Linked DNA regions of Solanum lycopersicum. The main gene of each other region encodes a partner of the protein of the gene in region 3 in a complex. Links are inferred from orthologs where the notes say so. Each region holds a gene or a part of one and is shown on either strand. Other genes may lie near its edges.

Region 1 (3,349 bases), on a different chromosome or scaffold from region 3:
GCTATGCTGTTAAATACAAGGATATGTATTAGAAACAGGCACCAAGTCCTCATCCTTGCCAGAGGAACTGTTCTTAGATGCTTAATTGTTCTTGATGGAAAACAAAGAAAGAAGGTTCAAATTTGTGTCTTATAGCTCTTTGGAAATAAGAATCTCATTTTACCTTTTACTGATATGACAACTCTATATTCTCATCACTTGACTCCAACACTAGAGCTCAGATGCTAGCTGAGTTTTTACTGACATGCAAATAGTGAAAATAATACTATGCCTTGATCAACTGCAATAACACAAAAAAAAACTTACAAGCCTAAGCATGGCATAATGATTCCTTTGACTCATTGTTACAAGAGACTTTCCAATTTAACTCCATCTCATATCATGAATGATTTAAGCAGCAATTTCATCGCAAATCCAAACCTGTAAGCCATTTTCAACCATGGAGGTGGATAGACAAGGAATATAAAGTTAATATCTGGATAGAAAGTTAACAAACATCAAATGTAGCTCAAGCTTGTTATACATTTGTGAGAATTAGTTTACGATCTCTTTTGCCTGCACCAGATTACGGAATAAGCTGCTTATGTTTCAGCACACATTTTAATACTTCACAGAAGAGTAGGAACGGAAAGCAGTTCCAATTAGCAATGTTTTACTTCAATACGGACTGTACAAGTTCAAAATCAAGCCTTAAACAACTCATGGAAAGCAGATGCAGTAAAAACATTCAAGTATGACACGTCCTGTCTCTTTGAGAATTTTTTGGCAAAATACAGTACAAGAACTTCTATTTGAATGGTAAAGAGTCATTTCCAGCACGTCTTGATCTGTACATTTCCAAGCTTTTCTTTGAAAAGATAGCCAGAGCTTAAACAATTCATGGACATGTAGAAATCATGCCTGACCACACTTGCTTAGGCATGCAACTCCCTCTTCTAAATAATCTTGTCTATTGATCCAAAACTCAGGGGCATCCTGCAGAAATTATTCAATTATCTACTTATTTCTGTTAACATAATAATGTTGCTTTCAAATTGTATGCTCTTCAATTAGGGTGTGCATTGATTCATTGCAATCCTTTTCCTTTTTGGCATAATGAAAAGAAAAAACTTAAGAACGCTCAAGGAGAAGAATGACGAGAATTTATTTTTTTAGGTGAATGAGCTTCCTGACTGGAAGAATAGGACAGCAAGAATAATTTAAACATGGAAATATACCAGCCACTATGATTTCAGCATAATATTAAACATTTAAGTTACGGCATAAAATTCTTTTACTTGCTCTACTAAGTGGACTTTATTTAATTTAGTTGCATTCAGCCACAGGAACATCTCTCATACACAGATTATTTGATCAATTGCAGAGGAAGAACAAGAAAAAGAGAAGGATCGGAGGGATGTGAAACACAAATTTCCTTGTGCCTGAATCTGATGATTGCACGGGCCTAAATCATATCAAAATAGTATAATCCAACATGTGCCACAACCACTTCAATGGAGGACAGAAATAGAATATTCAAATCCAGAAAATTATGAAAAAGTGTACACAGATTAGAAAAGGATGTATCTTATTAGCTTTCTTTTTGTTTCTCCTGGGAATAAATTCTTTTTTATATGCATGAAAAAGCAAGGAGCAGAGATGGGGCTACAGAGAGGAAATCGATACCACCATACCTTCATAATTCCGGCCAGAACTGCACCACCGAGATACACCATATGCTTTCTTCTGGGTGGATCTTCTATTCGTAAGCGCAATTTCTATTGCAGAAAACATATAAAATAAAATTTTCAAAAATAGAGAAAATTTCAACAACTTAAAGAAAACCAAGAAATGCATCATAAAAGACAGCAATTGTAGGCAATGCAATCCAACTCCCTAGATATGTTAAACCCTACTCGTACTTTTCCAACTACTTTCTTATCTCCATCTCTTGATTGACTTGACCTCATATAGAGCCGAAATCACCATAAGCTGCAGCTACCAGTGAGATTGAGGTATTTTATTGTGGTTTGTGGGTAAGACTATTTGAATAAATGCAACTTAGTTGCATAAACCTTATTCATAAACCAAAAACCTCAAGAAATTGTGAAAAGAACAAATAAGAGTCACACAGTACCTTCAAACCATCTTTGTTCCCCTTCAGAACAACATCAAGATAGCGGTCCAAAATTTCTTTCTCAAGGCTGTCAATGTTTAAAAAGAAGGGAAAATAGCTGTTATTAAAGGAAACAAGAATATGATGAGTGTGGTCATGAGGTGGGTAAGAAAGAGTTTCGTTCCTTATATTCCCACAGTAAACCAAAAGAAATGTTAACTGCAAAAGTAAAGTTCAAAGGAATAAATCACAAAGAGATGAAAGTCCTTCTTGATGACAGCTCACGGATATTCTTAACAGAAATTCTTCATGCATTAAAGTGTATACCTAAATTTCCTAATATAGCACATTTCTAAACAATACTCATATCCTCTCGAATAGAATTTCATACTCTAATTTATGATACGTAACAAGATGAGAGTTAAAATAGTATGTAGTGAAAATGAATATATATTTCACGTTGATTTGCATTTTTAGATATGCCTTCATGCATTTCATGGTCGTTATGATACTAACAATTTCAGAAGGGTACTTATGAGCAGGAGAAAAATAGAACAACTATGAGGAATAAGTCATCAGTCAGATATACCAAAGCTGACTGCTACCAGGAGGAGGGAATCAGCAAAATTTTGATACCGTAAGAGGAGAATCATAAAATTCAAAATCCACAGGGAGGTGAATTAGAGTTCTTCGCACAATAAAAGAGTGTTATCAAAGTTATAGCATAACAGTTTTACAGTTCAAATTTCTCTGCCAGATTGATTAAACATTAGTCCTGAGGAAAAAATAATTCAAGGATATACTTTGGTTCATAAACTCAAAGCAAACTGTCACACCCGTTAAAACTTCCTAGTCTGTATGACAATAATGTAGCATTTAGAATCAACCACGCACAATTGCACTACTCAGCTCCAAGTTCTCAAAGCTTTATAATAAGGAAGAGTATTTTGAGTAAGTTACCGACTAGGTAAGCCAGGATACATGGTACTTCCACCACTCAAAACAATATGCTGGTAGAGCTGCAAGTGAAAATTTAAACATATGATGGATGGCAAATGACAACACTATGGCAAAGAATACAGAAGAAATTTCAAAGTTGAAGTACCATCATCCTGTTGTCAATATCCATCTCCTGAATGCAGCGAAATACCATGTCAGCCATGCCATCACCTTCAACATCAATAAGATCCTGAAATGGACAGAAAAAGTGACACTTAGCTTCCTTCCACATACAGCAACCCATCAATAAATATA
Region 2 (3,840 bases), on a different chromosome or scaffold from region 3:
AGAGATCCTGAACGATCATAAGGACCATCAGGCGCTCCAAGACCAAGAGCATCCAAGGATTACACATCAAGAAGTTACAGATCTCTAAGAGATAATCAGAAGATGCTTGGAGAGCATGGCGAAGATTCGAGCAAAGCATATCATGTTTGAGAGTTCAAGGAGTGCTTGGAAGTGGCTGAAAAAAAAACTTGCTGGAAAGTAAAGTCCAGCACACGGCTAAGGCATTGGGTGTGGACAGAAGGAGCTAAGGCTGGACGCCTTGCACCGAAACACAAACACCAAAAGTTAAGCGGGCTGGAAATTACGACTCAGTGCAGCGGGCTGAACTTGAGGAATCGGTCATGTGTGACACACTGGTCTTACAAATTGGGAGGCTTTTCAGTTAGTGTAATTTATTCTTTTCTCAAACATAGGTAATATAATCTGCACATAAGGTTAAACTCGTTTTTAGAGAGGTTTTGATATAATTTTGAGATTGATATCTTTCTGAGGCTCAAACAGTCTTTGTCCGGACTGAATTTCAAAATTCTTTCAAGCTTGAACCTTGGTGGTAATTCTTTTTACTTCTAAATCTTTATATTTTTGGTTCTTTCTTTTCTGTTCTTCAGTTTTGGTTGGAATTTCTATCATGTTATTTCCATTAATCAGTGTGTAAGATACCGTACTGCATGCATGTATCCAAATCATATCTAAGTCCCCTACTCTAAATCAGTTACTGTCTTGTTTATCACCATTAGACTATATATAGACTTCTTGAAGTGAGTACAGATCAAAGAAAGACCACAATCCATCCCATATTGCCAATAACAGATCCTCATTGCCAAGATGTTTTAAAAACAGAATACAACATTTGTCATTTATTTATTCCTCTTTGAAGAAACCAAAGTGTAACTCAAAATAGTGGAATGAACACATGAAATGTAAGCCATGTAGCTCATTTAGTGCACCAAACCAGGAAAAGGGCCAAGTCGATCACCAAAGGAAAAGAAACAGCATGGTTTTCATCATGCGTGGAAGTTATCACACTATCAACTCAGAGAGATAATTGTCACCAAAGTAATGAAATATGTAAGCAAAAAAATGCTTTCTTTACCATTTTCCTTGCTGAAAATTTTGCTTCTTAGCACCAGAAGGCAATGTATAATTTCGAACCAAAGAGGCTATAACACCAATCTGCAGATGCACTCATCAAGTATCAGATAACTAAGATTAATTAGAACACAACTAACATGACTCCAATATAAGAGGACGTGCATCAAAATTTACGATTACTTCATCTACATCAGATAACTAGCTATGCATCTAAGTAATATTCAGGTAATCTTCCATATAGTCCAACATCTTCCGTCCTCTCTCCCCTTGTTCCTTTTTTATTTCCAGATCATCTATGCACTTTCATTCCCAACCATTCTATTCGTATCTTTTTAATTTGCGCTACTATAGAATTATCCATTAAACACAGGCAGAGCTACAGCTTCGACCAAAACCAGTAGGTTCGGCTCAAATCTTGTATTTGCGTTTAAGAATCCACCTAATATGCATAAATAAGTTATCAATAACTTAGTAAACACCGTTTTCTAGAATCCATACACTCAAATTCCTAGCTCACCCTTGATTAAACATGGTTTAGCAAATCATGTAAGTTATCTTACATTTCCCATAACATCAACTATAATGCCAGTTTTTCCCTCTTTAGTTACACATCAAAAAGTTCCCTATATCGCCATAAAAACACAAATATAGCATCTCATTTCCAATTTTAAGTTTTTTTTCAATCCGAATTCTATAAGCAAGATCTCCGACCTAGCTATTTCCCCTAATTCCCAAGCGAATTATATTAACTGAATTACGATATCAATTAAACAGTTTAAAGCATTTTGGAAAAAGCAATTATAATCACAGTAGTAACAATCACGGCAACAGTTTCAACAACAAAAACGCAATATGTTAAACATATGATAATAAGAGTAGATACGAAAAGATATGCAACAGATCGTAATTTTACGTACTGGATTTCCGAGAAGAGATAGTTAATTTCACCGGCGAGAGATGTTGAGATCGACAGGGATGGGTGATATTTTCCGGCGAAGATCAAAGAAGAAGTGAAGAGAGAATCGGGTATAAACGGTGATGGTAGTTGAAGATGGGCTTAACGATCAACTATTATTGGGCTCAATGTTTATGGGCCTCTTCTTAACCAATTTGAAGTTTAGTAAAATAGTACGATAATTGAGGTATAAGAAATAACGAGCGATAAAAGAAATTGAAGGACGAGAAACTATATGAGTAATGCTAGGACTACTAGTGTGGACGTATAGCAAGACGACACACACTACTGCCTACTAACTTCTTTAGCCTAATACGTGCCTTTCAAAACCTTATATCTAAAGTCGTATCCTTATTAAGTCGAAAATGTGTCATGTTCTATCTAATTACCTCTCTCCAAATACTTCTTCGACCTATCTCTACCTTTTCGAGGCCGCCCATTATCAACCTCTCACACCTTCATATTGGGACATTCGTGCAGCTCCTCTTTACATACATTAGCCTTGCTTTCTACATCTTGTCCTTCATCAAAATCACTCTCATGCACCTTGTCTCCGAATATCCTCGTTTCTAATCATGTCTTATTATTATTCCCACACATTCATCGCAAACATTTCATCTCCGTAGCTTTCATATTTTGAACATGAAAGTTCTTGACTAATCGACACTCTATCTCATACTATACGGTAGGTTTAACCATCACTTTTTGTCAAACTTGCCTAGCATTTTTTTCTTTCCTTATACTTTATGTCACGAATATACAGGTATCATATTGTTAAACAACGTAAATATATATGTATAATTTTTTTTTAATCAAGAAATATATCCATTTCAAATCACAAACTTAACGTTATATTTGCGCCTTTTCCATAAAGTATATATGATTTTTAAGGAGTCTAGATTTAATAATAGACTAATTGAAATACCCTACTTTATAATTCACCAATAATAATGATGACTACCTAATTTCTAAAAGGGGAATAATTCTAGGAATAATGCTATTCTATGAAAACTTTTGATAATGACATTGTTTTGAAAAAATTATTTCTCTACTTTTTCTTTTTTTTTAAAATTTGTGGTCTTCATTGTTCTAACTCTTAATCTTAAGAATAATCCATCACAAAATTCTCTAATTTCAATCAGTTCAACTTGCAATAATTTTGGGGCTTAGCTTTTTTCTAATTACTTTAGTTGATTTTGAATTGAAATATTGATATATTAACAAATTTAACATTCTTTTTTTTCTAGTAAAATTCAATATTTCAAAGGGAGAGTGTGGAAAGGGAATCTGTGCTAATGTTAACGTCAAAGTTATATAATTGAATTCAAATTAATAAGTTAAATATACCAGCTGTCTGGAATAAGTTTTTATGTATATTTAAATTAAAATTCTATTCGTAAATATAATGATATAAATCTATTTTGATTGTGACATTTATTGACTAAACATTGTAAATTTCACAAATTAATGTGAAGTAGTTGTGTATTAAAAAAAAACTTTAGGTCAAAATCAACATTATCTAAAAAATCTAATATAATTCTTTATTTATTGATAGTGAAATCCATTTTTTGAAAATATCTCATGTATAAAATTCAATCACTTGTGGTCCACAAAGCCAACATTTTCTCATCTTATTTATTGTCTTTATGATTTGTTAATCATCCAACAATAAAAATAACACTAATTTTAATTTATTTCTCGTTCAATATCAAATATCTGATTTTTAAATTTATATTAAATAAAATTTATTGAAGGAGGAAATATTTTTTCTACTAGAATTTTTTTTTTAATTC
Region 3 (3,600 bases):
GAGAACTCAGAATTACACCTTGAACAGCAGCAATGTCTGTTATCATTTTTATAGCCTCTGAAATGAACAAAAGACAACACAAATTTTATGAGAACCGCCGCAGTGTGAAATGCTATCAAAGTAGTAATTGAAAGAAGTTCAATTTGGTTCGACTATTGATGGCTCAGTTTATATCTTAGCATCACCATAACAAAGTGGCAGTTGCTAACCACTTTAAATTCATTATTGTTTTCACTTGTGGTGCCACATTTTATTGTTTATTATTGCATGATCGATTATTCTGCTTCTGAGATGTTTCTAAAGCAGGATAAAGGGGTGGTAGGCAGCATTGATGAGAGGAGTTCCAAACCTTTACCATGCGGCATTCTACCAAAATTGAGTCGTATAGTCAGCTGATATCCTTCTTTTGGAGGCTCAACAATCTCCACAACTTCAGCACTGATAGCCTTTACCTTCTGTATAGTGTAACGTGAAAGACGAGTTGAGACCAGGAATGCTTGAGACAGAATCGGGGTTGCTATTGATAAGTAGGTATGATCGGGATCTGACACCAATGACTGACAAAATATTTCAAAAAAAAAGAAGTTATGGACACATATTTTGGATTGTTGAAAATCAGCAGACATTTTAGCAAAAAAATGCATTTCTCAACTTGGAGTTCGTTTTTTAAATATAAAACTAGTTGCTTGAATTGTTCTTCAGTTCGAAGGATCTTCCTTTAGACAAACCTTGTCTTTTGTGCCATGAACTTCAATCAGGTATGCAATGTATGCTTGTGGTTTTTAGTTGCTCTTACCTGAATGTAATATTCAATGGACCCAAATTCATGAAGGTGATGGTCGGCATCAATAGCCCTTTCATCTCTGTCTCAAGAAAAAACAAGCATGTTCATGGTAAGAGTTTTGGTTTTTACATATACGTTTATTCAAAAACTTAAGAAGAAACACGTCGGAGTACTGCTTATAATTCATCAGGTAAATTCTAAAGGTTAATTACTTACACTTGTTCCAGCTTAACAATTCTAAATGGACGTCTCTATTTTAATGTTTATTGATGTGTCTTTTCTTTGTCGGTTTCATATAAATCTGTTGTATATAGTAATGATGCGGATAGGATTCATATGCTGATCCCAAATTGTAGTCTAACTTGATATAAAATCGTGATTATTCAGTCCAATGAGTTTGTTTGTATGAGTATGCTCTCAATAACTGCATGTCGTTTATGCAGCAAGACCAACTTAGCAGGAACTTAGAGAATATGGTGCTTGGCTGATTGGCTCGTCTCTTTCAAGCACTTCGGTAAGTCCAATACCGACTTGTGATCACAAAAAGTGGCATGTTTTAAATTTTCTCGGTGTTGCTGTCACTAATTGACTGTTGAAAGCAACATTTGATAATAGATCAGAAGGCAAATGTAGCCCCAGCAATGGAATTCTACCTGTACAACGCCTTCTTTTATCTGGCCAAATAGAATCCGTTTTCTGAACACTCAATGTCTATCTGCTTCCACATCATAACTATAAACAAATTACTATTCATCGGCAATGTTAACTAATCATGTATTTCTCAAAACTTAATTCTACTTTATCTAATGATTCCTGCTTAATCTTTATAATTGCCTTATGTTCTGTACTTTCTCCTCTTTACCTTATGAGACGCTCTTCAACTTGATTCTTATTATGTTATCTTGAAAATCTTAGCGAGCTCACTGTATGTTTTTGATAGACTAGAATTACCTAGTATTGAATTTGGAACTGAACTCGAATACTAGACCGACCCTACACTATGATCAGCAATGCTCATCCAGATGAATACGTTTGTTGCACTCAACGGTTCCCCTAGTGGTTTGAGAACCATGAAATCTTAAACGCTAAGTGATCTCTTCTTATTTGTCTAAGCCTTGGTGGAAAGTGGATAGAGTTCGGAGATAGCATATACCTGTGGAATTAGTTAAGGTGCAAGCAAGCTAGCCAGGAGGACACCATGATAATATACAAAAACATGTTGCATCATTTGCTAGGTGTTGAGATTAGCAAAGTAATATATTATAACTAATAAAACGCTTTGTTGTGTTAGCCTCTACAGGAAAAGAATACTCGTGGACTTAACTGAGAAGTAAATCTTGAGTACATGACTTGAAGTACGAAGAACAACGAGTATAGTTCATTTTACCGGTATAATCTGAGCAGAATCTCCTTCAATGCTGGTGATGCACGTTCAAAACGCGCCATGCTTTGGATGTTGATCTTGAAAGTGGAATGAACTTCACATGAAGGTATGTAAAACAAGCTTTTTTACTGATGAGTTGTTGTGGTAGAAGTAGTTCAGTTTTTATATTGAGTAAAATGCAAGATTCTAATTTTGCAATCATTTTTAGTGTATTTTGAAGCAATTTATTCACCAAACAAGACAAATGGCACTACATTTTTTTTTTGTCTTCAGTTCATATGATCATTATCTGTCGATGCTTGTCTTCAAAGATCAGGTAACAGATGGAATAATTAATCATGTTATATATGATTCTATGCACTGGTTACTGAACTATTTATTTTTTTTCACTCGGTGTCCGGAGTTCACATTGGAGCCCAACTAAATTCAGATCGTGCACTGCAAGGCCCATCCGGGAATAACGCTCCTAACAAGATTTTCTCCATACTCAAAGCTCGGACTCGAGACTTCTGATTAAGAGTGAAACACTCTACTAGTGCACGGTTATTAAACCATTATTGATCATTATTATATGGTATCCACTTCACTTGGTTGTTGCATGTGTGCAAAATCAATCAAGAAGAGATCTTATTGTATAATTAAGTTAATGAATTTTTGGAACTACTTATATATTTTTTAAAAAAAAATATTGATTTGTTGGATCTTATTATGGTGTGGGGGCCAATCTTGAGATATTTTAATCGTCTTTCTTTAATGGTTGGTATATTTTTCTAATTCCAATTTACACTTGGATTTTAAAACAAAATCTACTAAATCGAAAAGGGTGTTTTCAGGTAAGGTGAATTTATGATTCGAACTCGAAGTTATTTGTTTTTCTACCACGGGAGGAGTTGATTTGGATTGTCTTAAGCAGTTTAGGTAATCGTTGACATCTTGTCAATTTATTCAAAGTAGCTTTATCAAGATCAGAAGCAAAATTGTGCAAAGATTTCTAATTTCACGAATTGTATCGTTTGATTGGAGGTACAAGAGATAATAATCTCGCGATTATATGTGAGATAAGTTTATCTTACATTTGGTTGAATTTTCGAAATTGAGATTAGTAATTTGGGGATAAAACACTACAAATGACAATGATGCCCTTTTCCAAGGCTCTTCCCTCCAAAGTCCTTCATAAAACTCAAGGTTAAAATTGGAAATATAAGTTTATCCCAACTTATCTAGTGTATATACACCAAGAACATGTTTTATTTTATATCCCACACATCTCATTTTTAGTCCAATGAACCAAATATCGCGCGTAATAAAGATACTTGATTCAGATGAATCGATGTCACAAGTTTGCATCCGTCTTTATAGAAGTGAATATAATCTATATTCAATGAATTCAACTAAATTCGATAATTACGACAAATATCTTTAAAATACGAAA

The links.
Region 1: actin-related protein 2/3 complex subunit 2B (region 3) and actin-related protein 2 share a complex: the UniProt entries of both Arabidopsis thaliana proteins name them as parts of the arp2/3 complex. The link is inferred for Solanum lycopersicum from reciprocal best matches to the Arabidopsis thaliana genes arpc2b and ARP2.
Region 2: actin-related protein 2/3 complex subunit 2B (region 3) and actin-related protein 2/3 complex subunit 3 share a complex: the UniProt entries of both Arabidopsis thaliana proteins name them as parts of the arp2/3 complex. The link is inferred for Solanum lycopersicum from reciprocal best matches to the Arabidopsis thaliana genes arpc2b and ARPC3.

Annotation. Positions count from the first base shown.
Region 1 is NC_090801.1:71,236,185-71,239,533, reverse strand, and holds the end of actin-related protein 2, read right to left. Parts: intron 3,285-3,349; coding exon 3,201-3,284; intron 3,115-3,200; coding exon 3,056-3,114; intron 2,184-3,055; coding exon 2,117-2,183; intron 1,758-2,116; coding exon 1,674-1,757; intron 976-1,673; coding exon 895-975; 3' UTR 620-894; downstream 1-619. UniProt on the Arabidopsis thaliana protein: Functions as ATP-binding component of the Arp2/3 complex which is involved in regulation of actin polymerization and together with an activating nucleation-promoting factor (NPF) mediates the formation of branched actin networks.
Region 2 is NC_090806.1:3,894,234-3,898,073, reverse strand, and holds the start of actin-related protein 2/3 complex subunit 3, read right to left. Parts: upstream 2,186-3,840; 5' UTR 2,010-2,185; intron 1,174-2,009; 5' UTR 1,097-1,173; coding exon 1,094-1,096; intron 1-1,093. UniProt on the Arabidopsis thaliana protein: Functions as a component of the Arp2/3 complex which is involved in regulation of actin polymerization and together with an activating nucleation-promoting factor (NPF) mediates the formation of branched actin networks.
Region 3 is NC_090808.1:67,514,549-67,518,148, reverse strand, and holds the start of actin-related protein 2/3 complex subunit 2B, read right to left. Parts: upstream 2,369-3,600; 5' UTR 2,231-2,368; coding exon 2,172-2,230; exon of another isoform or gene 2,132-2,171; coding exon of another isoform or gene 2,109-2,131; intron 864-2,108; coding exon 797-863; intron 558-796; coding exon 350-557; intron 58-349; coding exon 1-57. UniProt on the Arabidopsis thaliana protein: Functions as actin-binding component of the Arp2/3 complex which is involved in regulation of actin polymerization and together with an activating nucleation-promoting factor (NPF) mediates the formation of branched actin networks.